Coturnix japonica: one gene and its partners. The protein of the gene in region 3 purifies or fractionates together with the protein of the main gene of each other region. This does not show direct contact. Links are inferred from orthologs where the notes say so. Each region holds a gene or a part of one and is shown on either strand. Other genes may lie near its edges. The genes, in order: ORC2, CEP63, FXR1 and TDRD3.

Region 1 (6,731 bases), on a different chromosome or scaffold from region 3:
GTGTTTCCTTTTTTTAAAAAAAAAAAAAAAAACCTCCCAGTAGAGTATGTTACTGTCTCTGGATTCTGTACACACCAGAAGAATATTTAAACAATCTGAAAATACTTCCATTGCAAACTAATAAATGTCTGAGTGGCATCACTTTAAATTTAGTTAATAAAGCTGGTTTATTTAGCAGGGCCTTTTCTGTGCTGCACACAGCAGCTCAGTGTGTTTGAGTCCTGTGTGAACCTGGAGTTTTGAAGACTACATGAAGATTTAACTGCAGTAGCTAAAATCATTGGGATTCTTGGAAATATTTCCCCGTAACTTCGGTTCTGTTTCAGTTGAGGAGGGTGTAACTGAAAACCATGTCCTTCCTCAGTGGAGCACTGTGAGAAGTACCCCAGTAAAATGTCAATAAGCTGTTCTGCTACTTAGGCTTTCCCAGAAGTCTCACACACTGACTTGGAGGCAGCCACTCCAGAACTGTGATGTGAAGCTGCGACCAGATGCTTGCCACCAGCAGCTGTACTTTCATACAGCTTAACCACACTGCCAAGCATTTTAAGCCCCCTCTTTCATATCTTAATTTGCCCTCTTGTTCAATAAAACTTCAAGCCATTAAACAGCCAGCCTGCTACCCTTCAAGAACGTGTTACTTGCTCAGCCTTCTAGGTGTACCTAGCAAAGTGATGTGATTTATAGGGAGATGTCAACCCAGTACAAGGGAACTAGTCCTACTTCTTCAAACTGACTGAAATCAATTAATTACTCTTGGAAACCTTGATAGAAAGCAGCACTGCCACAGCCTGAAACAAGCGCTTATGTTTCCATTTTTCTACTGGAATAAAAATTGGAGATGATGCTCTAAGTGTAATTGCACACCATCTTCCATTTAAGTACAAATGGAGAAAGATGGCTAAATTCAGTATTATTTGAAACTGCTGAGGTGATAAAAAAACAATCATTCTTCTCAATGCCACAAAGACAGCTAAGGATCAAAGTGAGGGAAGATTTCTTCCTTCCCAAATAAAAGAGGGGGCTGCACAGCTATCAGAGCAATTGTTTTTGAACTCTACAGCTAATGTAGGCCTGGACAGTTTTAGTGGTTCTAATGGTAGCCTAAGAAGCAATAGGCGGGATCTAATGTTTCACACATTTTTTATAATTGCAGCCTGTAAAACACAGATGCACAGGCCTCCAAAGGAGAAAGTCAGTTGGAAATCATAGAAACAATTGAGTTCAAAGGGACTTTTAGAGGTCATCTAGGGCAACTTCCCTGTAACGAACAATCTACAGTTAGACCAAGCTGCTTGGAACCCTGTCCAGCCTGATGTTTAATGTCTCCAAGAACAAGGCACCCACCACCTCTGGGCAACCTGTTACAGTGCCTCACAACCCGTATTGTAAAAAGCTTTTCCCTTATATCCAGTTTAAAACTCCCCTCTTTTACTTTGAAACCATTACCCTTGTCCTGTCATCACAGACCCTGCTAAAGAGGTGGTCCCCTTCTCCCTTATAGCCCCCCTTCAGGTACTGAAAAGCTGCTCTCAGGTCTCCCCAGAGCCTTCTCCAGGTAGAACAGCTGCAGCTCTCTCAGCCTGTCCCCACAGGGGAGGTGTTCCATACCTTTGATCATTTTTGTGGGCCTCTTCTGGATGTGCACTAACAGGTCTACATCTCTTCTGCACTGAGGACTCCACATCTGGATGCAGTACTCCAGGTAAGGTCTCAACAGCACAGAGTAGAGGGGCAGAATCACCTTCCTTGGTGGGCTGACCAGACTTCTTTCATTGCAGCCCAGGATACAGTTGGCTCTCTAGGCTGCAAGGGCACACTGCTGTCTCAAGTCCAGCTTGCCATCCAACAGTACACTCAAGTCTATTTTGGCAGGGCTGTGCTCTATCATTTCATCTCCCAGCTGCCATGACCGAGGTGCAAAACCTTGTCTGCCTCCAGCTCACCATGCATCCAGCAGGACGAGAGCCTGCAACTGTGATGTCTCTTGTAGCTAGAAAAAGAAGGCTTTGTCAACAGGCTCTACCTGATCAGGCAGCCTGTAGCAGACTCCAACTACAAGGCTATGTTTATTGCTTCCAGTCTCTAACTCACACATAGACTTTCAACTTGCTTGTGGCTGTTTTTCTGGAACATTGATGTAGAGGACAATGCTTCCTCCTCTCCTTCTGTGCATGTTCCTTCTGAACAAGTTGTAACTGTTGGGAGCCACAATCCTGTCTTGGGAATCATCCCACTAGGCTTCAATGATGGCAATTATGCCATGGTTTTTAAGTAGCACAGTCCAACTCCTCCTGTTTGTTTCCCAAGCTGTGTGTGTTGTGTAGAGGCACTTCAGCTGGGCAGCCAGCCTTGGCTCCTTCCTGGAGGAGTCCTTCATTCCTTTAAGTATTTTCCTTGAGTTTCCTTGTTGTCTTTTCCTGTTTCCTCAGATGTTCTGGGGACGGAAGCTGGAGAGCACTGCTGGCAAGCACCAGTTTACCCTCCTATCACATTTCAGCAAAATGAAATAGCTCCTATATTCGAACAATCAATTTGATAAATAGATATTCCATGTTTTCAACACAAATCGAAGTCAGGTTGTAAATCTATGTCCTATTGCTTCTGCCAGTGAGGGGTGTAGTGGGGGTATAGCACTGAGAGGTAACAGTAGTATTACATGTGATGTTTTGGTTCTTTTATAAAGCTATACACAGGCATTACAAAGCATACAAACTATTATTATTTTTGGTACCTTCAAAGAATATAGAATACTTTTTAAAATTAGTTTGAAGTCTTTTGCCCCTTGCACAAGGATTTGCACAGATATTTGACATAAGAATGAAAATGAGGCTTTCATGTAACTTCCAAGAAAGATCTCTATCTTCCCATAACATAAAAACACATGTGGAAAATTAGATAAGCTAATGAAAATTATTAAAGAACTTTATTTGATTGATTTGAACTATTACAACGTTGAGCTGTAACACAGCTACCAAGTGTCAGACATTGGAGTCCCTGAAGTCTGATTAGCAGACTACAGTTGATGAAACTAGGGCTTACTCCACATACCTGAGAAACACATTGAAAACCTGTGAAGCTTCAGCACCCTCCCAATCTCTAATGGCTACAAAAAAGGAGAGCTTGTTAAGTGGCATTTAAGGCCACCTCCACAATCAATGGACACTCCCAACGTAAAAAAATACATATATACAATCAATCTATTTATTTTTAAAGTAAACTAAACTTCACAGCCTCTTCATATTTCCAGATTATAAATTGGAAAGTAGATGAAAGAAGCTGAAATATCTCACCCTCACCAAGAGGTCATCAAAACTGCGATGGACACAAGTTGTTACCTAAATCCTCTTATAAAAGAATTCCATCATGGGGAAAAGTCCTTCAGTTCCACTGTCAGAATTTAATAAGTTACCCACAGCATCCCAAACCTGCTCATATTCCTTGTGCAATCAATACAGGTCTCTTAGCATTATAAAAATGGCTTCTTCATATGCTGGAAGCCAATCTTGTCTAGCTGGTAAAGGAGTGCCACAAAGCACTCAATTGAGGAAAAAAAAAAAAAATCCATCACTGGTACAAACTAAAGCTCTGACCATCTTGTGGTTTGCACTTCTCACATGAACTACTCCAACCAAACCCTCATGTCTGGTAAAGAGCAGAAGGCACAATCTTACTGAGTTAGTTATCCTGACTGTATAGTTGGCTACGCAGATATGAAGATGGCATCATCTGAGCTAAGAGACAAAGCAGATAAATCTAACTTCAGAGCAAGAAATAGCTTGCTTTAAGAAGTTATCATTCCAAACTACCTGAAGCGGATGAACAAGAAACGTTCATTACAGTTAATACATTTCAGTAAGTAGTCCAGCAGCTTTGAAGCTGCAGAGAAAGACCTGAGCATAGGCCCCTCTCCAGCAGCCCTTGAGAGCAATTGCCGTAGTTGTTTTGGGAACAGACAGACGTTATACATCTTCATCCTCTTTCTCTAAGAAGTCGCTCAAGGTATTGTCATCTACAGGTACTGATAAGTACTCCACACCATCAGCTCCCTGAGAAAAGATACACAACATACATTCCGTTAACACTGGTGCATAGTGCAATGCAAGCCATTAGATAGCACTGCAACACTTACTTTGAATACCTGCAGCCAGGATGAGAGCTGGCAAGCATTGTGACTGACTACACACTGCTAAGTCCAAGCACATTTCCCTAGAGCAACACTTGAAAAGCACAAATACTGAAAAAATGCAAAGCTTCTGGCGGGCTGTGCTATTGTATCACTACACACCTCCTCAACACCATATTCTCACATCTACCATTGCTACACTGCCTCATTATTAGGACTCTATACTCTTCTGCCATGCAAATACAGGTAACATTCAATCACACCGTCAGGCTCCAACATCCATTACATCTCCAAGTCTTCAGGAAGTTGTGTTCTACAGAGACCCATAAGTTGCTGAGTTAACTAAACCACACTGTTGTTGCTTTGATTTGGTTGTGTGTTTTTTGTTTGTTTCTATAGCTCCTGTACTCATGAAGGGTGCTCATGATTGAGGTTATGGAAAGAGCTGCTATTACAAAATTTCAGCACTTTGCTAGTGCCCAGATGCTTCAAAATGCAAAGCCTCACTGTGAGCCACACACTTGCATCTTAGGTATGCTCTTACAGAATAGAGCAGCTTTTTATTTGACATAACTGAACCCCCAGAATTACTGTCTTTCTGCAACTCACCCGCTTGGTCCGAATGAGCTTGTGGTCCCTGAATTCTGTCAGCTGTGCCCTGAGTGTTAGGTCACTGTTTACAAGGAAGGCCTCTCGACACTGCTGGTAGAAGTCTTGGAAAGAGAGGCCTGGAGACAGAGACGGTGAGAACAAGGATCTGAAATTGTAAGTTTGCCCCATTTTTCCATGTCTAACTGTGAACTTTTTTCCCTACCCACAAATGTTGCTTTGGTTTACACCACAATGTTTATGGCAACAACATCACTTCAAGTACTCAGCCAAGTTAATATTTCACTAATCAACAGAAAACAGTTGATTTAACATTCCAGACACGCTGCCTGCCTAATAGAATTTCAATGGCACTTCCCAACAAAACACATCTCTCAATTTCCAACTGCTCCATCTCACTTCCATCTTTCTGCACCATTAACATGCTGCTCATCCTCTGCAGCATCTGTTAAGACCATGACAGTGCATTCCACATGGACCCTAGAAAGCAGGGACACTTTAGAGATTACTCGGGAACAGCATGGAAACCAAATCTCCTGTTTTTCCCCGGTTCATGAAGCACTACTATTGTGCAAGCTCATATTCTCCCTTGATTTTAATTCTGTAGCCCCACAGTCACCCCAGTGGTCCCAATAATGTCTAAACATGAAAGCAGACAACATTAAGAGAAGGCTAGAATGAAGCTAGTCTATCCAGCAGCAATAAACAGACGATCTATACTACCAAGACTCACTGAACCAACAAGTACAGGTCTTTTTTTGCTCATGATGCAACCCATACACTGAAAGCCAGTGCCACTGTGACTGAGCTAGCAATGCCATCCCAAACAGGTGAGGTAACAGTAGGTATGCACCTGAGTAAGATGCGTTGTCCTTGTTCTCCAGCTGGTACTGAGCAAGCAGTCTGAATATTCCCCTAAGCAGAGAGATGAGAAGGGGAAATCCAAAGGAAAAAAAAAAAAAAAACATTAGCAAATACTAATTTATCTTTTATTACAAGGACTCATGTAGTTGCTGGCTAAAGCTTGCTTCCATTTAAAGTAATCAAACACATGAAAGCTAGGTCCCATCATTTTCATCTTGAAAACTGCTGTCAGAAAACAGGGATTGCCTCCTGGTAGGTGTATGCTTAACAGTTAACACAGAAGTCCAGAGTAACCTAATGAAGACTAGATTCTCAGCAGGTTCTACTGTAAAGTCTATCAGTGTCTTACCTGGCATTGGGAGTGAGGCTGCGCAAGACATGTGTTAGGGAGCTCAAAGCCAAAGATCCAGATTGCTGTACTAACAGTGAGTTTTCATAAGATGTTTCTTCTACATAAGGACTAAATGTTGTCGTCTCATACCAAAGCCAATTGTAGAGGCTTTGCTTTGCCTGATCCCACACTACACAGAGAGGAAAAAGAACAGACAGAAGTTGGAGGGTTAGCTTTTTTGGGGATATTAAATAAGCAATATTATAATATACTTAGATCTACTGTAGTATTTGAGGAAGAAAATGTATGCTTGTGAAATTCACAGTACATACACCTAGATGCTGCAGTTCAGGCAAGACAGCCCTCTGCAATGGAAAATTTGCACACATCCTCTTTACACACCAGCTTCATGGATACGCTGTATATTGTTCCAGAATCAGCAGTAGGAAAAGCATTTTTGATAAAATTGTTTAGATGTAGTGACAGATCTGGCATCCAATCTCCATTTCAGTAAGTCACTAAATAAAAGAGTGCCACAGGCTTGGAGGTTTTTTTCTTGTTTTTTGAACATTCTTTTTTTCTTGCTCTTATGGTGCTTTTTTTTTTTTTCTTATACTATAATCAGAGACTGGTAGTTCTTAGCATCTTTATACAATTTGGGTTGCAAAAGGCCACAGTTCCAATCAGGGCTTCCAACCACTACAACCATACATACATCACCAGGTCTATTTTGCACACCAAGAGTAATCCGTGAGCTTATGAAACATGCACTGCAGACCTACAGTAGAATGCAGATTCTAC
Region 2 (7,704 bases), about 12 Mb from region 3:
AATAGCTTCACGCAAACAATTCCCCCAATCAAGGCCACACAGCTTGCAAATGAAGATTTCTATTTGTATAATGAGCCTATTATACTGATAGGATCACAAAATACGCTGAGTGGTATAAGAGGAGCAGGATGCCACGCTTAAGTCGTGACATCAGCAGCTCCAATTAGACCTCTGTCTTATCACAATGAGAGCATGACTGAAATATCGATCAGATGGAGGTCTATATGTAGCTGTTAACATGGCACCTCCTCTCTCTACAGGCAGCCCCAGGACTCTGTAACAGCAGAAGAACCTGAGGTCCATCTCCTGGTGCCAACCACAGGGACAGTTCTACATTCTTAGAGGTTAAAGTGAAGCTCAGGTGAGGAGTGGAACTCTCCCGCTCGGCAGGAGGAGGAAGATTAGAGAACTGCCATTATACATAACATCAACACTACTTCATCTGTCATCCTCTGCTCAGATACACGACGTACTTCACAATAACTGGAAAATGCCAACAGAAAATAACACTCCTACGCCTACTGCTTGAATGCTGAACTCTTATCAGAAGCAAAAGTGAGGAGAAAACTGCTGACATTTAAGTGACCCTCTGTGCAAATCACCACTCGCAACTTGCACAGATTTCTCCATCTGATGAGCTCCCCAACTCAAGCATTTAAACAAGTTTCCAAATGGTCCCTATGAACCTCAGAAGACATCATTCCCGATTTGGGAACCCATGGAGAACTTATATCTGAATCAAGACCCCATGATTCGGATCCACACAGTGGTCAGGAAAGGTTCTCCAGGGTCCTGAGTCAGGAAGGTGCTTAAGCACATTCATTGAGAATGTGTTTTGCCAAATGAGTCAGCAGATTCCAAGCACTGGTTTATCCTTTCAGCAACCTCCATGAGGTGGACACTGTACCTGTAATTTTACTGGTGATGGTGGTAAACTGAGATAAAATCTATCTACCCAAACAGTACTAAAACAGACTAAGGAACACTGCAGCTTAATGCCATCTACATGGGTAAAACACCAGTGCAGTGCAGTTTTAACCACAAGACACACACTATATTCTAGCCATTGCAATATAGCCTGATCTGGCCAAAGCACCTTAGCCTTGCTCTGCAGCCTATCCACTATTTCAGCTGGAACATCTCCTGCTAATCACACTGAGCAGTAAGGTGTTGTAAATGAGGACAGATGCCTTCTGTCACCAAAGCTGAGGCTACCAAATTAATTTAAGTTATGGCTCACAGTGAGCATCAACCAAGCTGAACTCTCCGGGGAGAAAAGGTCAGTGCTCTGCTGGCTGCTCATGCCACTTAACTCAATGCTTCTGACAAGCAAGTGGAGACAGGCAGAACAAAGGCACCAACATGGAATGCTGCTGTTCCACCTGCAGGACACTGTGTGTGTACCACCCTGCATTGAACAAGGAGCTTGTCGAGATGGAAGCTCTGAAATCACTTCTTGCAAACTGATATGGTTTGAGAGAACACAGGTCCCGTCAAATAAAATCAGACTCAGTGGAAGCAAAATGATGATGAGGCTGCGTACTGATCTGATCTCAGTTTCTCCATACAATCAAGGCCGGTTCCACCACCACCCATTTTAATTTAAGGAAGTGCTGAAGGAGCAAACTGCTGCTGCCTGTACCCATAGCAACTTCCATATGAGGGCTGTGGTGACTATGATTGGCAAATACAGGAAGATTTTGCACTAAAACTCTGCAGATGTTTAACTCATGGAAATTGCAGCTTAGAACATGTTCTTATTCCTGCAGATTTCTTTGTCACCACGTTCCCCTGATGTGCCCAAAAGAGGGCCAGCAAAGCACAAAAACATCACTCTGAGCTCAGTGCTCTCTTCTGTAAGAGAAGAGAATGGGAAGCTTTAAAACCATGGCACTTAAGCAATGGCAATGATGCCAAACATTTCACCTACCTGGTCACATATCAACAGGGAATTAAAAACCGACCTTCTCCTTTTGAAACTCACCTCCTCTTGAAACTTCTTCAGCTGCTGCTCATATTCCCTAACCAAGTCCTGTTTGGCTGCTTCAGTGTCTTCCAGCTGCTGCCGCAACTTGCCAACCTGAACCAAGAATTACAAAGCAGATGAACTGAGACAGAGCACACTGTCAGCAAACAGAGGGATTAGTCTTCATTTCATAAGTATACACAGTAGTGGAAGTGGCAAAGGAATGTTAAGAGATCCCAGTTTTCTAAGCTGGGGTCAGTCCTTTTGAAACAAATTAAGCTTATGTCCACATCTCTGGTTGGATGGGATGAGAACAGTCTCAGATTTGGCCTCGTGTTTTCAAGCTGTGTCTGCCTTCCGCTGGCTGAGATGAAGCTGACACTTTTGCCTTGTGACAATGTCATTTTCATGTTCATTATAAGTATCCATTATGATTTCAAACTATCTATTAAGGGAAGAGATGGCAGTGCCATCCTCTTACCCCAGTGGGATGAAGCAGAGATGTCAAATAACACATGGACAAAGAAAGAAGCAGTGCTTTGAAACTCTTGGGAAAGGTTTCCCTTCTCTTGATCCAGATCTTCCCATTCCTCTTCCTTTCTCCCCTGACTCTTTTCCCTTTTCCCATCCACAATCACCTTCCTAACTGCAGGTCCAGAACACAGTGGGCCAATAAACAGGATTGGCGACCCTGCTCATAGCAGAGGGGTTGGAACTGGATGAGCATCGTGGGCCTTTGCAACCCAGGCCATTCTGTGATTCTACGAAACAGCAGAAAAAACTCAACTGAAATCTGATGAAACAAACAGAAACGCAGATCCACATTCAGCCTTTACGTACCTCTTTATGCTTTTCCTCCAGTGCAGCCCTGGCAGAGGAAAGTTCCTGCTCTCGAACACCCAAACAAGCTTCCAGAGCCTGGGTCTGTCCTTCCCATTCTGCCTTCTTGTGAGCCACCATGATGTCGATCTGCTTCATCAGCTCCTGCAGCTCAGCTTCGCAGGATGTCAGGAACCCACTGCTGGAAGGGACAGAGCTTCAGGTCACAAAGAGGAGCACAGAGGTCCCACATCCCCACAGTAGTGACACCAGTGACACCAGTGATTGGTGCGGAACATCGCTGGGCAGAGACCTAAACTTGGCAGTGACTAATGGGGCATGCTTTGGAAACCCCAGTCAGAGCACATGCAGTGTGTTTTGTTTTCTAATGTCACAGCAAGCCCCTATGACCACTGGTCCCTTTATCTTGGTACTACGCATTACCTAAATAAACCACAACTTATTCTGCCCATACTTTGCATTTCCCCTTAATGCTCTTTTATACCCCCTTTCAGTCACCAGAGAAACCTCTCAGCTCCCGAAAACAAAAGCATATCACAAATGCAGACAAACCCCTACGTTGGTTGGATGACAACATGATAATGAAGAATAAAACATCCCCAACCCATTGGGGAAAGCACGCTCCCTGGCGATGCCGCAGCTTCTAATTTGTGCAGTAATTATTGAAGCCAATTCAACCAAGCCCTGTAAAACTTCACAAGTGCTAAGCTAAGGACGGTATGAAGGCTTGCAAGATACAGCCCTGGAGGGCTGTGAACTCCATGATCATCTTCACCCATTTAATTTGACTGTCAAATGGAAGGCTCTGAAAAGGAACGGAAATCAATAGGTGAAGGGATTGAAATTTCCCTGCTCCCCCAGAGCATACATACCCAGCCTTCACAAGCTGACAGATCTTCTATAGGGAAAGAAGTAGCTCTCAGAGCAGCCAAAAGCAGTTAAATTGGATGTTCACCCCGGCCTGCGAGTTACCCAAAAATTAGCAGCTATTATGCACAGCAAGAACACCTCCTGCTCAGCATCTGCTGATACACAGCTATGTCTAGACTGCATTTATACAACCAGTTAACTGCAAAAGATACAGCACTGAGTCACCTCCTCAAAGACGGCAATGGAAATGGTGTCAGTGCCTTTAGTTTTGTGTTTGTTTGATAAATGAAGCCTTGTTATTCCATCTCCAAGCCCACAAGCCTTCACCTAAGGGTTCCTCAGGGTGTCTGCAGCTCCAGCACAAGCAGGAAGTAATCAGGTGCTCTCAGCATGTCTCATTAACCTCACCGGGCTCTTAAGAAAAGGATTTACTCACTCTTCTACTTAGCACCGCACTGCAAGGCAGGAGGGGGCTTTTTAAAGGGGAAAACAAAGGGATAACGTTCTTAGAGAGGCAAAATACAGACTGCAAGGCGCTGAGGGACCGCTGCAAAGTGCCGAAGCAGCCACGTCGCTGTGCGCTGCATCCATCCGCCTGCAGAAGGTACCGAGGGTCTCATTGACACCATGGGAGCTTGGCAGAAGAGTGGCAAGGAGCGTTAAGAGGGAAGCCCCGCGGTGAGGCTGTTGTAAAGGCCGGGCACACAGCGGTGCATACATACATACGTACATACATACCTCCCCTGGCCATTCCTCTGCATGCCTGCCAGCAGAGCCTCCATCACCCAGCGCCGGCGGGGTCAGCAGGGGGGAAACCACGCAAAGCAGCGGCCACCGCATCCACGGGCAGCGGGAGGGGAAAGGTGGGGGAAATAGAGGGGCAGCAGGAAGGGCAGAGACACGAAGTGACGGGGCAGAGAAATGGTTGGTTGTACGGAACAAGAAGGTACCGCACAGTGAGCGGACCGCACCGACCGCACCGAGCCCACCCGCAGGGCGCTGCCGGCCGGGGAGGGGAAGGAACGGAGGCGGCGGCGGGTGATGACGGTACAGCGGGCGCCGGAACATCGCTGCGGGATGGGGCGGAGCGCTGCCGGCAGAACCGAGCGCGTTGGGGCCGCTCGAGTCCCCGCGGGACGGGGCTGGTACGGAGCTACCTCGGAGGGTGAGGATGGACAGCGAGGTGCAGCGGGACGGCCGCATCCTGGACCTGATCGATGACGCGTGGAGGGAGGACAAGCTGCCGTACGAGGACGTGGCCATCCCGCTGGTAGGTGGAGCACAGAGCCACATCCAGCCCGGCCTTGAATGCCTGCAGGGATGAGGCATCCACTGCCTCCTTGGGCAACATGTTCAGTGCGTCACCACCCTCTGGGTGAGGATCCTCCCCTTCCCTGTTCGCACAGGTGTAAGCCGGCCAAAATCACGGCATCTGATAATGCCTGCAAAGAGACATTGCCAAATTGCAGTGACATCATTCAGCCCTTACAGCACAGTGTGGCATCACTCTTGGAAGAAGAGCAGCTCCTTCTCAGCAGAGGAGGCAGGAAGCAGCTGCCCTCCTCCAAAACCAATAATAACCAATGCAGCAACACGGGGAGCAAATAACACGAGGAAGTCAAATGAAATCGCATTTAAACTCTCCTTCCTCCCCCCTGCATGCTGAGCAGCTTGGTGTTGTATCTCCTGTTGTTACAGCACAGCCACAGCAGAGCTCCACATGCAGCAAGAGGAAGGATTTCTCACCTTGCCATAAGAAAGCGATATGTTACAAAGCCAGCTGTCTTAATAGAGCTACGGTAAATGCAGTATCTGTATTCTGGGCAGCAACAAAGAACCACAATCTAAACAAGCAATGGAATAATTGCACCGTGTTATTATTTACTTATTTTGCATTTTCTCTATATTCTCCTTCACTGCGTGTGCAGTCTGAGTACATAGCAAGGCCCCGGGGCCCTGGAAAGCCAATTTACCTTTCAGATGAAGCATCATAATCATATGAAAAGCACATTGTTCCTCCCTGGGCTCAGTAATATTTTAACTGAATCTGGATGTATGATATGTATTGTTCAGATGCCCCCTCCAGTCTCATTTGTGGATTTTTTTGTATTTATTCATAGGAAGTCTTCGTCACCAGCTCCTTTTTAGGCAGCTTGTTATGCACTGAATGCATTGTACCTTTTTTCTTCTTGTCGTTCTCAGAATGAGCTCCCTGAACCAGAGCAAGACAATGGAGGCACAACTGAGTCTGTGAAAGAGCAAGAAATGAAGTGGACGGATTTATCTCTGCAGTATCTCCATGAAAACGTCCCTCCCACAGGAAACTGATGAATCCGGGGGCATTTCACGACAAATTCTCTGTTAACTTATTCTTTACTTGGTGCCAATTCTGTTCTTAAGTGTTTTCTACACATGATAAAAAATGTGTTTTTTCACCATCTGGAGTTGTTCTTATATGTCAAAACTGGGGATGGGATGTTTGTGACCGTGGAGGTTTATGTCCCAAGAGGTATAACTGTGTTTTGTGTTAGAGTTCGCTGCCAGTGCTGACCACTGTATATTTACACGTTGTTTAAATGGTGCGATTTGTGCTCAAATGATGGTTACTCAAAATCCCTATTGGCTGAGCACGTTGGATGTTCTGTGAGGACATGGGCGCTGAGTAGGAGGATGCTTGGTTTGAGTGGCTGGGGCAGCCCCTGCCTGAGGAGTCAGCAGTGCCTGCTCTGAGCCAGCAGTGAGCTCATCTGAACAAGAAGGAGCTGCATGCAGCCAGCAGGCTGCTCAGGATTAACCCAAGCTTCATATGTACAGTATAGACCTTAGAAACAGCTACGCTGCTGGGAACTGTAATAGTTCAGCTCCTCGCTGTATCTCAGCAGGGGGCAAAACAGAGCTTGGGCTTAATGAGGTATTTCTGATCCTCCCCATGTTCCCTCTCCCTGCAAAGAAAACACTAGAAGCTGCGTGGTGGCTTTGTGTACCCAGCAGCCGTCTCTGTTCTCTCTTCCCTTCCCCTCTCTCACTCCATCACAGGCTCCATCCCCATCACACCAATTTTGCCACAGGATTTTCCAGCTCCAATTTCAGGCTTCCTTTCCCAGCCCTGATGGTTGTCTGTGCATCTGCCCACTTCTTACTGTCTAGCAAGGGGGGAAAAAAAGCCTTTCTCGCTTGAATTGGAGCTGAATTCACAAGGTTCCAGCAGGGCTATAAGAAAACATGGTGGGGATATGTCAGATGTGTGAGTGCTGTCCAAAACAGCAGCTCCTTGGCAGCACGTATTGAGTTGAACTGGGAACGTTGTCAGGACAAAGTGGTGCCCATCCAAATCATGAAGGACCTCACAGGTTAAAAGGGATGCTGGGCTTCCACCTGCTGGAGACAGACAGAGCGTGGGAGAACCAGAGGAACACGGATGGGAGTGTCCCAATGCTACCAATGTGGGTCCTGGGAAGCTGAGTGCTGGCCCTGCCCAGATACCGATCGGCTTTGCACACCTACGTCCTTCACTCCCTTTTGACACTCTTAGCAGAAGACGAACAGGCAGGCAGTAATTTCAACACAGGTAGTCAAAGTGCTGCTTACAGCGTGATACTGAACCGTTCCTGCCTTTGATTAGTCACAGCCCTGGGCAAACAATCTTTAAAACAAGGGATCCTGCTACAAGAGAAGGTGCCCCACCTTTTGAGAAAGAAGAGCTGGTTGTATAACTTCAGCCCCATCTTTATTTCTTGGCTGGGAACTTCCTCCTTTCACCACACCTACATTACTGGAAGAAAAAGACAGCAAACTGTTGTCAGAGGCAGCGAATACGTGCCAAAGAAACCGCGGGATCCGTAAGATTTTCTACCTCTACAAGTTCCATGTGGGAGCCCATATGCTGAGGCTGTGTGTCACGTTCCTCTGCCTTTTGTATGGGGTGAAAACAGGTAGGAAGTCAATTGCTTTGATTTTTTTGTTCAATATAATGCTTACTCTGCTTTGCAGAAGCATAAACCTATCTGCCCTCTGCGTTATAAGGTTAC
Region 3 (7,117 bases):
AGCTCTTGAAGTTAGACCGCAATCCATAGAAATGTACAGACGGTTACAGCACTACCATACAGATGTAATGAAATTCATGCAACATTCACACAAAAATAGTTACTTACAAGTATTATTAGCTGAGCAGTTTCAGCATGATAGAAAATTCTACATGCTCCAACAGCTTTCTTGAAATCTTTATGTGCATTTTCATTAGCGCATCTAAAGAGATAAATGACTTGTCTTAAGAAGTTGCATCAAAACAAAAAAGAGTAACAGAATGACCCGGGTTGGAAGGGACCTTTAAGGATCATGCAGTTCCATTCCCTCAGCCATGGGCAGTGATGGCACCCACTGGACCCAGACCAGGCACCCACAGCTCTGGGAGGCTTCAGTCAGTGCCTCATCGTCCTCTGAGCGAAGAATTTCCTCCCAGCACCTAATCTAATTCCCCTTGTCCTATCACTTTTTGACCATGTAATAATAAAACCAGATCCCAGAATGTTTTACTAGTTTATAGTGAGGAACGTTCAGTTCTCTCTTTCTGTGCTGCCAGAGTTTATTTCTCCATGAGGCATCTCTCAGAGCCAGAGACATGCTGTGAGTTCATCAGCTACATAAGCCTGCAGCATGACTTGAAGATCCCACCTGAGCATCTGCTTTCTGTCCCCAGCCCAAGCCCTCAGCAGAGACCCCAGCCAGTAAATTCAAACTCAGCTACAGCAGCCACAGCCACCCTTATGATTCCTAATGGAGCTGCACATGACCCTCAAAAATAACATCCCAACTCCACCCCCCACCCCCACTCAAATTCTTTCCATTAAAAGAATTGCCTTATTATTAAAATACACATAACTACTCACGCATCTCTCAGATCTTCAGGAACATCCACCGTGCACTTGAAAAACGTGTTCTTTTTGACAGTTTTATTTTGATTCACAGGTCGGAGCCTTTCGTAAGTCACGATTTCATTGTAAGTGGCATCACAAGCAGCATACTCAATGACGTAGAACTATGGAAGAATTGTTTTTTTCTGAATGGTAACTTCAGTAACCACAAAAGCCAAAAGTAAAACAAGTTCTGCACGTGCAAAAACAAACAAACTAAACCACTGTTTTTCCACTACACTCAATTGAAATGTAGGTACAAACAGAACCACCATCAAAGCACTTTTGTAGATAGAGAGTGCTGAACTACTAGAATTAGATTTGCAGTCTGAACAGTGATCATAATCACAACTGAGGCTTATTACTTTATTATTTCTTAGAGCCAACTTCAGTTCACAAAGAAGGATTTTTGGAAGCCATGTACAGCATGCATGCATACAGTTCTCCATGCACTTTAATTACTAATAATCAGAATGTGCCGCTCAGCTATAAAAACACACTCCCAGTTGTATAAACACAGCATGGGTCATTTCAAAGTGATCTCAGCTTAAAAATCTGTCCTGTCATACTTTTGTACTGGTAGTTTCTTCATCTTTTGCATTATAAAGAACTTTTGTATTTACTTTATCTAACAAAGCAGCGTGAAAGCAGCAGTAAGGAGTTTACCTCTCCTTTCATCATTCGAACTTTTGCCAGCCACCAACCACAAGGCTCTTGATCGTTTGCTCTAGAATAAACCTGAAAACAAAAGCAGTTAAACACAAGTGAAAAAACAATATGTAAAGCACGGACAGACATAATTGAGTTGCCTACATTTATGATCAGAGAGGAGCATCTCAACTCCTCTAGTTCTCATTACAATGGAACAGTATGCTGCTCAGAAATATCTTTTGCCTTCAATATTATTACTTTGTGCTTCTTGCACAAGTTCTCATTACTTTGCAAGGATCATTGACAGATTTCCTTTCTATATTTCACCAACTATACAACAGAAATTGCTAGAGGGACACAAAGCCTTAAGAAAACACTTAATTCAGTGGTGATTCCTCACTAAACTTAAAGACTCTCTTAACACCAAAGATTCTCATACAGAAGGAACTCCAAAATTAAGGTTTTATTTTGCCTTTGGATAATTTGACAAACTTAAGACATCACAAACAACCACATATTTTTATTTAACAAACACTACTAACAGTACAAGACCAAATACAGAACCAGTGCTATCCAAAGCTTTCTGGTTTTCCTGGTCTTCTAATCATTTGTATGCAGACTAAACAAGAAATTTAAGTTAAGTGAAGAAATCTGAGGTAAAAAATGCCTTGAGATTAACCTCTAACAAAACCAAGGGGTTCCATGCATTTTGAATAAAAATAGAAATATCAAGCACACACAGGCAGCATTGCTTACATTATATGCCCAGAACTGTAACAGCATCTTAAAGATACGTGACTTCAATGACAAGAAAAACAGGACGTTCAACTGTGGCAATCACTAAAACTACTATGGCACACCAGGGACACAACACACACCTTATAATGTCCTGGTGTAATGTGTGATTTCTTGTTAACACTGCTTCTCCATAGAACAGCTAATACACACTGTTCCCTCCAAGATATTTACAGACAAGATATTTCACTCTGACTGAAACCCAGGTTATTGAGACATATTTAAACTTTCATAACTAAAAATCTCCAGCAGTTCTCATGAGAACTGAGAATTAGCAAGTTTGGTTTTCATCTCTTAAAATACTGGGCTCTATTTCAAATTTTAGATGAAAATCAAGTTCCACTGGTAATTTTCTGAGAAAAAAAAGACCCCTTAATTTCAGACAGCTTCTCTGCAAGCAAAACCTGCTGTCTTTCAAAGCGCTAAGAGAACACAAATGTTTTTTATTTACCAGCTTAATAAATCCATTACTTGAGACACACTCCATTTTCATTCCCCACTAATCTACTTATAATCACCATCATCTCAAAGAGACGCTCAGTTATGTAACAGAACAGCTCATTAGCCAACATCTGGATCAACTCACCTCCACTTCATCTCCTTCACCAATTTCCTTCTTGATATCAGGAGGTGGAGGTAATCTGACTTCATTAAAGGGTACCTGGCGCTCTGGCTGCCAACTGAAAGTTGAAGAGATTACACATCAGTTCCAGAATTTTTCTGTTGTTTTCTTAAAGTCTTTATTGTTAGAACTCTAAGTTTAGTTAACTCTCACTCATTTCATATTATCAAGCCTGTTTCTTCATTCCCAGGAAGCAATCTTCAAAAGCAAAGTTGCAAAACAACGCTGTCAATACAAAAACATAGCTGGGAGGATATGTAGTACCAGAACACTTCTTCAGTTAACTTCAAAAGAAAGTTCAATGGACTGTTTCCACTGAATTGATTTTATAAACCCTCCACAAGATCAGATGCCATACTGAGATGTGTGCTGCTCCATGACAGCCTTGGGAATGTGCAAATTCATCCTTGTAATCCACCTTGAGGTTTGTCCATTTTTTCAGCATTTTAACACTGACAATCCCATTGGCACTCACCATTGTAACTACTTACTATCAGTTTGTAAGCATTCCAGGAAAATCCAACTGTGTTTCCTAATAAAACTTTAGGATTTTATCTACAACTATTTCAAGCAATCTCCAACAGGAGTCTGGCAAAGAGATTCATTTCAAAACACAACTGCCTACTAATACTGATTACTACTATGCATGTCAAATTAATAAGCTAACTTCTTGTACAGAAAGGCTACTTATTTTTCTGTATTTGGTTCTGCAAGGCTTCTTATTTGTAGAGCTGTACATTTCAGATGTATTTATGAAGTCTTGTAGAGTAACTGATGTCCTCAGTATTCTCTTATAATTCCTTTATTCTCCATAAATCTTTCAGGAAGCCATGAAGCTGTTTCTCAACTCAAAATGCCAACTGAAGATAGACTAAAATAAAGCCAACACTGCCACCAACAATGACAACAAAAAACCTTACAACATCCAAGGGACTTGGACGTGGTACCTGTCCAAGTATTCCAACATCAATCATTTATGAACACCCTCAAGACCACATCAGGTACAGACAGACCCAAAGGGTTATTGCAGTTTTGCCCCAGCCATGGCTGTACAGTTCACTTTTCTCCTAACTACAGGGTAACTTTGAAAAAACACCATCTCCAATGCACAAGGAGCATTATGGATGGCTTTTGTTGAAGATGGAAAGTATTTTTGTCAAGAAGTGTCACTTAAATCTCATTTTTACCTCTGAAAAACAGTCAAGGAGGTTGGAAAAAAATCTCTTGTGATTTAATCATGCTTGTAACTGCAATGGTCACTAACCTCGGGATCTGTGTACTGCCTTTTTCCTCCCCTCATGAAGTTATTACTCTCACAGATGCAAAGGATAATGGTAAGAGTTGAGAACAAAATGCATCCCCTTGATTACAAGCTATATAAAAGTTCAATTTGGAAACAGTCAACACAATGATCATAAATGAACAACGGGATACAAATTGCTGTAAACAACTGAGCTGCTTAAAGCTCTCCTGAGAATTTCAGCTGTGCACTGCAGGTTATGAATCCAGCAAGTGGGAGCTTAGAGAAGTTACAGACTGCCCACAATGAGATGCAACAACTGAAGAGACCTCGGCACTCCAAGACAATCTTAGAGCTGTATGTAGCAGCTTTGCTTCCATCTCCGGAGGATCTCCATCTACTGTAAGGAGACAGTACAGCAATGACTCACTCATTGCAGCTATAAGGTATTTTGATATATATATATAACAAACAGGGAGAAATGTACACAGTAGGCTTGGTTTTGAGAATATGACTTAAAGTTCTGATGGCCTGAAGTCAAAAACTGGAGCAACTCACCAGCAAAATCATCACTGGCAGTTGGTGCTGGTTCACCAGCTTTGGGAACCTTGTGATAGCTATAGATAAGGACCAGTAAACAACAGCAGAAAATATGAACTGAATGCCATTAGCAGACACTCACTTTGCTAAGTGCTGATCACTATCACAACAGAAGAATGCATTCCGGATGCTACTCTCCAGCCAATTCCAATTTGATTAAAGCCCTTATGAATTTAACTCAGTAAAAAGGGTAATTTATCAGATTTACATCATGGCACAACTAGAGTAGCACATACTTCCTGATAAGGTCTATTTTTGGTCAGCAAAGCACTCAACTTTTGTTGTAGATCACCCTTTTCAGAATGAAGTTGCTGCTGCCACACAGTCAGTAAAACACATTGATGACACAGATATAAACCAGCAGAAACATGTTTGCCAATAATTAAACACCTGCTGTGAACTACAGGCACTTCCTTTAGCTCAGTTGGCTCGTGGTGTGAAAGCATGTGCCTTGAAGGCAAAGAACATCTACTCTTACAGAAAAGTAACGTGGATGTTGAATGTGAAACTGAAGATCAACAAGATGAGGATGAAGAAGCAGATCAGTGGGGTTCTGTGGGGGACAGTGAGAATGGAGAAGGAGTGGGGTGTTAAGAACACCATGAAGAGCTTCCATCACCACCCCAGGAAGTCCTAGCTACAGCTGCCACTTCATCTTCTAACCAATTTTTGTAGAAGAAAAGCTAGAAAACAGGTTAGAAAGAAAGACTAGATTTGCAGAGTAAAAAAGCAGGATCATCATTTTTTCCCCAGGATTTTTTCATGCAGGCATTACACATACATACACATACAAACATCCCAGCATTACATAAACCATTCATACAATATTGTGCATATATACAAGCAAGCTTCCCACTATTATGCCTCTTCCTCATCTTCCTTCCAGAAAGGCTGAGCGATGAACCTGCAGGCTGGTGCTGGCAGCTCAGGAACCACTTGCACATCAAAAGCTGACACATTTCTGGAAGTTGATTTTTTATGCATGTATATCCTGCACTTGTTAAAAGAAGTCACTCCATCAGGGTATTTGTATTGTTTTTTCTGGCCGATGGTGCTGATCACATTCCCCGTGTTAGACACAGAAAGAACTGCTCAGGAAACAGAGCTACTCAAGTACTTTCCATCTTTCTTTGCTGTAGGTATTAAGAATATAGACAGCTGCCACTTCTTTCTAATTAAATCTGTCCACTGCATCCACAGGCGTTACTAAAATATCAAAATAAGAAGTCAAGGAGTGCTTAATTGACTCTGTGACTTCTGACACCACAGCTATTTAAGGAATCAGTTCACGGAAACTGAATACAACAGTGAACCCGTATTCCTAGAACCAGCTTTCTAACCAAGTCTACTTCCCCTTCACATCAAAACAAACACAACAGTACACAAATGATTTTTAAGATAAAATACTTACTTGTTTTCAAACACAACAGTGAGTGAATCCTCATGAACATCTTTGATAAATCCCTGAAACAAAAACAAAGTTGTTGTAAGACACGTGGAATCACAACAGGGCAGCAATTTCAGCACAGCCTGAAACCACCACTGCTGTAATGGTCTGAATGTAGGAAAGCTCCCACACAATCCCACTGCATGATGAGGCTGCTTCACATTCTCAGCTCACTGCTCTAAGAATTAGTTCCAGGTGGACTATTTGAAGTAACAGACACATTTACAAGTGAATTACCACTTTCAAAGTTTACTGTTTTCCTTACAGGCACGCACAAGTACTTTACACAAGCAAAATGAGACAGCTGCAGTGCCAGGGTAAGGAGTCCATCCCAAAATAAGGTCCAATAGCTGAGCACAGCACTGTTTGATTTTTCACTTCTTAAACAAACAAGCAAAAAAAAAAGAAATAAGAGTCCCAAACAACTGCCCTTCAGTACAGCAGGACCTGAAGGATGGATAAAACTTGGCACCAAAGGCTGCTATATGGCCTCTTCACTATGTCATCATAGTGTGCAGTCAAATACCCACTGCACCTCACAGAAAAGCAAAGAACACAGGATGTTTCATGTTATTTCGTGTGACATTTTTATGATCTTGGGAACAACTGCAGCAAAATCCCATTTTTCTTCCCTTTGAAAAACAAAAGGCTTTTTAGCAGTGCAGCGATTATATCAAAAACCTGAAGACAAAGAACAACCTGATGGAAAGAGTTATACTCCAAAACCCATGCAGAAATTAAGGAGCCCCCATCTCGTAGACAGGGGAGGAAGGCACGCTGCAAACACAAGGGAACAGAAGAAAGGCACAAGATGACAAAAAATAACAAAATAAGGAAAGGTTTTCTAATGACTCCTGTGCTGGTATGTGACCAAGCACAGAAGACCGAGAAGGAAT
Region 4 (7,845 bases), on a different chromosome or scaffold from region 3:
ACTGGACAGTAAATGCAAGCATCTCTAGACTGGAACTACTTCATGGAGACCAGTTGTAGCTGAAATAACAAATCCAATCATACCTTACAGCAAAAAAGTCTGCAAGAAACCAACAGACATCCACAGAGAGAGCAGAAGGCAACTAAGCACTGTTAGTTATACCGATGTATGGACAGGAACCAGGAAGCATAAGAGCAACTTCAAAGAATAATTAGAATAGGTGACGAGTTATGTTTTAACTGCTTACCATCAGCTTATCAGTACTCAGGATTTCACTGATCAGATAAATGCTTTATTTCTGAATGCTTGAGGAAGTAATGCTTAAATTGTAATGGAACACATATACTCAAAAGAAAATGAAGTAAATGTAGCATCACTGCTGAATAACATGTTCTAATTTTTTATAAGGCCTCCTTGTGTCTTTATTCCACTTAAAATACTTCACAAATATTCATGGTATACAGTCATTTAGATGGAAATGAATGTTCAGCTTTTTAAATCCTATGCAAATACGGCCATCTTGTGGCTAGTGCTGGTAGTATAGATTTTTTTAAAGCCATACAGAACAGATGTAAATAAATGATAAAATATTTTTATGTATTAATGACAATCACCTATGACGGTCAAGTAACCATACATTTTCTAAAAATATTTATCTATTGCATTTATACTACACAATAAATTTACTTTCCCTGCAAGATGGAAAACAGATCACACATTCTTGAGATACAGATACATAATGCGGATAGAAATTTTGTATGAGAGGAAAAACTATAGCATGAAATTTTTTGATCTGTTCTGAAGCATTTCTGAACTACAAACGACTGCCTTCTACCAACAGATTATATAGACAAGTCACTCCTGTCCCAATCAAGCCACCACTGTACTAAAAGGACATGACATAGTTGCCACTACTAAAACCTTGTAGGATGATTTCCACAATTGGAGTGCAGCTATCAACAAGTACAAGCTGTTCAGAAGGTGAGGAAGGACGGGAGAAGGCACTGCCCTTCACACTGAGGAAGGAACAGAGTGTAAAGACCTGTCCCTGAAGAATGGCAAAAGACCAGCATAGCTGAATGGGGATCTGCTGGTCAAACCAAAGAACAGGAAGACACAGGCAACAGAAGCAGAGACAGGTACCCTGTGAAGAATATAGGGATACTGCTAGGCTGTGTAAAAATGAGGTCAGGAAGGAGAAGGCCCAACTAGAACTGAACTTAACAATGAATGCAAATAAGGGCAAGAAAGGCTTTTACAGGTACATCACTCAGAAAAGGAAAGTTCAAGAGGGCACATCCTCACTTATGAGGAATAAGGGCAGGCTGGTAACAATGAACAGAAGAAAACTGAGGGACTTAACTTTTTTGCCTCAGTCTTCACTGGCAACTGCTCTTCACACACCCTTCAAGTGGATGGGTTGGAAGGCAGGAACTGGGGGAGTAATGTCCCTTGCACTGTAAGTGAAGATCAGGTTGGCATTCACCTGCAGAATCCAAACATCTATAGTTCTATGAACTGATGAGATGCATCTCAGAGTCCTGAGGCTGGTGTAATGGCCAAGCCTCACTCAATGATATTTGAAAAGTCAAGTCAGTCAGGTAAAGTACCTGGTGACAGGAAAAAAGACAGTGTAGCATCCACTTGTAAGAAGAGTAGAAAGAATGAACAAGTGAGGCGCTGGAATAGGCTGCCCAGAGGCTGCCAGTGCCTCATTTTTGGAAGTGTTCAAGATCTAGTGCTTGACCTAGTAGTTGGCAACTCAGCCTACAAGAGGGGTTTGTAACTGGATGACCTTTGAGGTCCCTTCCAACCAAAGATATTCTACGATTCTATGACTCACCTATGCACTGGGAAGGTCATGGAGCAGATCCTCCTGGAAGCTATGTTAAGACATATGGAAGAGAGGGAGATGTTGTAGGATGTGTGCATAAGCATGTATTCACCAAGGGCAAGTCCTGCCTGACTGACCTTGCTATTTTTGATGGTGTAACTGTGACTGAGGACAAGGGGGAGCCCCTAATGTCATCTATGTAGACTCTAGGAAGTCTTCTAACATGGTCCCCCATAACATCCTTCTCACTAAATTGGAATGATACTAATTTGATTGGTTGACTGGTTGATGGATGAGTAACTGGTTGCAAGACTGTACCTAGAAAGTAGTGATCCACGGCTCAGTGTCCGGAAAGAGATCAGTGACAAGTGGTACCCCTAAGGGGGTCAACATTGGGACTGATGCTCACTATACTTGGTCTTGACAACAGTATCATCAGAAAAAATAAATCTGGACAAATTTAAACAGCCTCACTCATCAAGCTTGTTTTCTTAAAATAATTCTGCTTTGATTTACTGCCATACTCAATTTCAACAGTAATGTAATATGTTTCTCAAGAAATTTCACATCACCGATATATGTCATGAGTATTTGGAATGTAGGAATAACTTCTTGAATGGAGAATTACCACTACCTTTAAAATATAATTCCTTGATTTATCTTATCTGTCAACTGAATTTTAGGAAGAACACAGGAAGAGCACCCCAGTGAGGTCAAAACTCAAGTACTACATAAAGATACAACAAAAGTCAAAAATCTGGAACATAAAAGTATAGAAAAAAAGAATATTATATAGATTATAAAGCACTGTATCATCTGACATGGATTATCCATACAGACTACTGGTTACACAACAACAAAGTTTACAGCTTTAATCACGTATATCAGTGGATAAATCAAGGTATTACTAACATATATCATTATGTATCATAATCTCACAGCTACTTTGCTTTATGCTTAACATGCTTTGTTGTTCTCACGAGTGAATAAGAGGGGAAAAAAAAAAAAAAAAGCAAAAGCAAAAGCAAGGCACTTGATATTAACTCAAAATCCAACAGTTTAAACTGTTTCTGAGTGATAAAGGAAGCTGCTACGATCAATCACATTTGTTTAAGGACTTCAGAATTTAGAAATAGTCTATTACAGTCTAGTGCACAAGCTAATGTGTTAACATATTTATCCTCAAATATTGGTTTAATTTGTACATGATATAATGCCAAAAAGAGACTAATGCAGTACAGATAACTGTCATCACAAAGAAATCGCAACAAGAGAAGTGAATATTATCTACCTTTTCCACCTTTCCACCATTGATGTCACTGGGGAGGAATTTCTTGCCAATGGTTCTTAAATCTGTCTGAAATTAATATAGAAGACAACAGAATATAAATCTAAAATATCCTATTTCAAAGAAAACAATCATAAAACAAGAAAAAGAAGGGCTTCTGTAATGTCAAAATAAGGATACTCTACAGATATTCAGAGCACATACCATAAAAGAGAGCATAGACATTCAACTTACTTTCTGTTGCACAATATAGCCACAGAGTGATAAGAAAGTACATTTGGTTTTCAAACTGAGCCCACCCAAGGAAACCGATCTGTCGCTTGCCTGTTATTTACCTCTGAACAGCACAGCAACTCCTTTGAACTGTCCCTGCAATAATCTGTATTCGTACAGAATTTGACAAGTCTCCAGAAAGATGCTTTGCAACTACAGCAACAAGGAAGGAGACAGAACTTTTACAAACCCTTTGCAAGATCTTAGACAAAATAAAAGCATTTGAAGAACTGAAGGCACGCTTACATTTCTTTCATTCCTATTCAAGCAATACACAAAAAAACATCAGTTGGCTTCTTGGTTTCTTTTGACTTTTAACAGCCAATGAGAGGTGTGAATTTTTAGGAAGTGGAATCTAAACTCTCTTTATCCTGCTTTTCAAAACACAATGGTATTCCCTACTTATCCAACAGGAAACATAATCTCCTGGGAATTTAAACAACAACTAACTTAAAGACAAAAATACTGATAATCCATTAAGATTGGCTTTGGGTACTTTCATAATATTTCTGGTTTATCTTGGTTATCTATCAGCCAAGCTGGAAATACAACACACAAATTTGTTTATTTCCTCGTGGCAGAAATAATTACTAAATCAAGATATCTACAGTAATTGAAGCAATGCTTGTAGTTACATAAATAAGAACGCATCATAGCAAACTCAATGTTTGCTTGAACAGGCTTTAAAAAATAGCATACCCAGAAGTCAATTTAAGTAAGGGTGTTTTACTAATCCTAGCAAGCTGATATTTTGTTCTATAATTTCTTAAATCCATACACAGCACTTCTGATTTCATTTCAAGTACTGCTTATACTTTAGATTTACATTTCCAAAACACAGAAATATCTTCCTACTGCAAATGATTCTCATTTTTCTCCCCATTAGGCTTCTAGTTGGAATAGGCGTCATTTCCAAATGAAATTCAGAAATAATTCATACATTCTGGGAAGGAGAAAGGTGCTTTGTCCTTTATGTAAATCGCACAGACAACAGTGTATTTAATTAGAGTTATAGACTTCCACCTGAGCCATCAGATATATTGTTTTCAGTGTGTTGTCAGAGAAAAAGTTCACAATCATAACTTACATTAAGTGCAACTAGGATAATGTCATTCGTATTGACTTTTTCAGATGAATTTATGCAAGTTTCGATTCCTTCATCTGAAAGATACCTGTGTTAAAGAAAAAAAAAAACAGACATATTAGGATATACATGATGTATGTAATAGGTGAATATCTGTTCTGCATGCAAAGATCATTTTTAGTTTGTATTTTCTATGTTATGAAACATAGGAAGAAAAAAACCACAAACAACCACATCAGTTTCTAAAGAGCAAGACGATGCACTCAAATGCTTTAAGGAGGCAAATATTATACTGTCATTCTACAAACTTTCTTCTTGCTCACCTAACCTACAAAATAACTTGTAGAAGTGGATTTGTATCTCCACATATCCCAAGAGTCAAATGTGGTGAACAATTTTAGAAACAGAACATCTCTGGAAGCATTTGAGATTTTCACAGTGGCAGTCCAGGATCACCACCTTCCTGCCAAAATTCTGTAAGCATGCAATAAATCTAATCACCTGGCAATTAAAGAAGACCCACTGAAAGGATGTGCATTATCAATTTAAAAGGGCTGACACATTCTCATGTTCAAAAACACTTAAGGAGAATGTAAGTTTTACTTGAGCAGTTAGAAACTGTGACATTTGTTGCTCAATTTGCCTCCTACTTCTCACTACAACCCCTCAGTTTTCATTCCCATGTAGATGGAGATCTGCTTTATCTGTACAGTTCTGCCTTTTCTTTAAAAACATCAACAGCAATCATTACACTGATAATTGTCAGACTCTGAATCTGAAACACAGAACTTGCCCAAATAATATTCATGTACCAATTACCTAACGAGAAACCATTATTCCTCAAAGAATAAATAACCATTAAAGGAAATAATAATAATAATAATAATAATTAAAGTTTAAGTATTCCAGAACACTTAAAGAAATATTTAAAGAGAATCATTCCCAAGTGTAAAATAAAATCATATAAAGATTTGAACGAAAGCAGACTCAATACACCTTTTTAATTCTAGCTCAGCTAACATGAACGTTGCCCTGACAGTGCTGCCAGACTAATTAATGATCCTCGTTGTGCTCTGACCCAGACACTTGATAGCAGTGTAGCTGTTCAAATCAGACACTGACACTTAGCAAATCCTGAGGGACCAGAACTCGATAAATAACTAAATAAATAAATTATAATGTGGAAGAAGCAATCCTATTTTTTCATACGGAGCATACACTAGAGAATAAGGTGGCAGGATTTGTTAGTCCACGCAGGAAAGCAGATTTCTCAACTGAGTGCCTCTGAGCTTGGGTATCACCACCTGTGAAGATTCAAGTGGTAATTCCCACTTGGAATTCTCAGACAGACTTGTTAGCTGGAATCGGAATGTAAAGTAGAACAGAAATCACACACCCTACCAGAGGAAATGGGAACAGGTATATTCTATAGGCAGCACTACACACCTGGGGCCTCAGCTGTGGATTAATTACACCAGTAGGGTTTCCATAAGGAGAAATTTAATAGAATCTGCAAGTCTACCTCCTATAATCTTTAGTACAGAGTTGAGGATCAGTTGTTTCAGGAGTGGGTGGAATACAAACCCCACAAGCTGAATTTCAGACAAGTTGTGGAAACATTCCTTCTCTTGTGCAAATTAAGTAATTCTTTGGTTCTGCTGAAGCTAGCAGAACTGCAATTCCATTATGAGCTACACAGTGTAGTACTGAGATGCAAGCACTAAGATTTATCAGCAGGAAAAAAATATATTCGTTAGAGAGTGAGTAAACAACAACCTGACCCAGAATTAAATTTTCCCTAGATAGGATAAAATTGATTACTTCTGCTACCATAAAACTCACTGCTGAGTCGTGTTTCCATCTCTCACTTAAAAGTGAAGGCTAAAACACAGCTGATAAAATTTCTTAGTTTCCTTTGTCTCACTACTTCATAGAATCATAGAATGGTCCAGGTTAAAAAGGATCACGGTGATCATGGAGTTTCAACCCCCTGCTGTGTGCAGGGTCACCAACCAACAGACCAAACTGCCCAGAGCCACATCTAGCCTGGCCTTGAATGCCTCCAAGGATGGGGCATCCACAGCTTCCTTGGGCAACCTGTTCCTGTGTGACACCTCCCTCTGAATTCTTCAAATGGTTTGAGACAAAATGATAAATACACATATGCACATTGAAAAAGGTTTTTCTTTTCTGACTTGTTAATATGTCAGTTAACAACAGCACTTAAGAGAAACATTGCACACCAGACTGAAATCTCCATCCACATTACAGAGGAGACAATAATGAAATGCCATTTGAGGACACCTTCTGGCTTGATTTAAGGAAACACTACAGGTTCTCAGCAAAAACACAATAATCAGTTTTTAAATTAGTCTTCAAACTAAAATAAATTTTTAAAAAAACAAAAACAAAAAAAAAAAAAACAGCCAATCAAAACAGCTTTCCAATAACTTCTCAAGTGGTGTTTCTGTGTAACAGAACATATAAGTAAAACAATCATCAGAAATGGTCAGGAGATTAGTGAAGAATTGCGATTAGAAAAGGCTGTATACCCAGACGGAACCAAAACACACATTTCTTCTACCCAGACAGAAGCCTGGAAGGAGTGCATGTCAAACTAATGATGTTTTAACCATTTAACCCTCTTGCTGCTTCATACAAGTAGTATTCCTAATACATATTTTCTTCAAAACTCTGCAAAGTTCTTTAAAATAAGTATATTTGTTCTCCTTATTGTCTATATTGCCTCCTGTAATAACTATCTAAGTTACAAACATTTCCTGCTACAGGCCCACAAAGTATTTAAGAAAAATAAATAAATAAATAAATAAGAGCCAGTAATTCTAAGAAATTTCTTCTAAAATAAATGCATTTGTACAGAGAAAACGTTTTTCAAGCATGAAATGGGAGTTATGATTGACCAAATTAGCTCTTTAGCTGGCATAAGGTCTGAAATTCCTTTGCTTGGTTGAAAGTCGCTTCTTTCTGTTCTTAATAAGGGTATGTGACGTGCTGAATGTACAGCACATAGCAAAAGACACTTCATATTTTTCCCCCTTTATTATATAGAAGAAGAAAATCTGACCCTGAACCAAAATCAAAATCAGAGAAACCCTCCTCAGAAGGAGCCCTGGAGATCAGCACCTGCATTACAGTCATTCAAGTGCCTCACAGCGCCTACATTAACTGTTCTGCACATTTTGCAAGATACCATGACCTACCGCAACCCTACATAATGAAAGGTGAACTACAAAATGATCCCATTACACTAATCCAACATGATTCCTACCGCCAAGGGGTGGGAAGCACTCCTAAGCTGTCCATGAACTAGATTACACCGCTGGAACCTGCTCATGAACTCAGAAT

What was found.
Region 1: the proteins of FXR1 (region 3) and ORC2 purify together in Homo sapiens (affinity purification with mass spectrometry; 4 studies listed by BioGRID and IntAct, with this or other methods). This does not show direct contact. The link is inferred for Coturnix japonica from reciprocal best matches to the Homo sapiens genes FXR1 and ORC2.
Region 2: the proteins of FXR1 (region 3) and CEP63 purify together in Homo sapiens (co-immunoprecipitation; 3 studies listed by BioGRID and IntAct, with this or other methods). This does not show direct contact. The link is inferred for Coturnix japonica from reciprocal best matches to the Homo sapiens genes FXR1 and CEP63.
Region 4: the proteins of FXR1 (region 3) and TDRD3 purify together in Homo sapiens (affinity purification with mass spectrometry; 3 studies listed by BioGRID and IntAct, with this or other methods). This does not show direct contact. The link is inferred for Coturnix japonica from reciprocal best matches to the Homo sapiens genes FXR1 and TDRD3.

Annotation. Positions count from the first base shown.
Region 1 is NC_029522.1:9,810,767-9,817,497, forward strand, and holds the end of ORC2 (origin recognition complex subunit 2), read right to left. Parts: intron 6,121-6,731; coding exon 5,949-6,120; intron 5,651-5,948; coding exon 5,589-5,650; intron 4,855-5,588; coding exon 4,736-4,854; intron 4,050-4,735; coding exon 3,963-4,049; 3' UTR 2,900-3,962; downstream 1-2,899. UniProt on the Homo sapiens protein: Component of the origin recognition complex (ORC) that binds origins of replication. DNA-binding is ATP-dependent. The specific DNA sequences that define origins of replication have not been identified yet.
Region 2 is NC_029524.1:2,641,902-2,649,605, reverse strand, and holds the start of CEP63 (centrosomal protein of 63 kDa), read right to left. Parts: upstream 4,742-7,704; 5' UTR 4,459-4,741; coding exon 4,415-4,458; intron 2,988-4,414; coding exon 2,807-2,987; intron 2,081-2,806; coding exon 1,985-2,080; intron 1-1,984. Other genes in the region: ANAPC13 (anaphase-promoting complex subunit 13), read left to right, coding at 4,848-4,946, 5,879-6,004; LIPH (lipase member H), read left to right, coding at 7,557-7,608. UniProt on the Homo sapiens protein: Required for normal spindle assembly.
Region 3 is NC_029524.1:15,045,176-15,052,292, forward strand, and holds part of FXR1 (fragile X mental retardation syndrome-related protein 1), read right to left. Parts: intron 6,239-7,117; coding exon 6,186-6,238; intron 2,993-6,185; coding exon 2,899-2,992; intron 1,605-2,898; coding exon 1,533-1,604; intron 992-1,532; coding exon 843-991; intron 202-842; coding exon 108-201; intron 1-107. UniProt on the Homo sapiens protein: mRNA-binding protein that acts as a regulator of mRNAs translation and/or stability, and which is required for various processes, such as neurogenesis, muscle development and spermatogenesis.
Region 4 is NC_029516.1:145,181,651-145,189,495, forward strand, and holds the start of TDRD3 (tudor domain-containing protein 3), read right to left. Parts: upstream 4,569-7,845; 5' UTR 4,483-4,568; intron 3,192-4,482; exon of another isoform or gene 3,188-3,191; 5' UTR 3,126-3,187; intron 1-3,125. UniProt on the Homo sapiens protein: Scaffolding protein that specifically recognizes and binds dimethylarginine-containing proteins. Plays a role in the regulation of translation of target mRNAs by binding Arg/Gly-rich motifs (GAR) in dimethylarginine-containing proteins.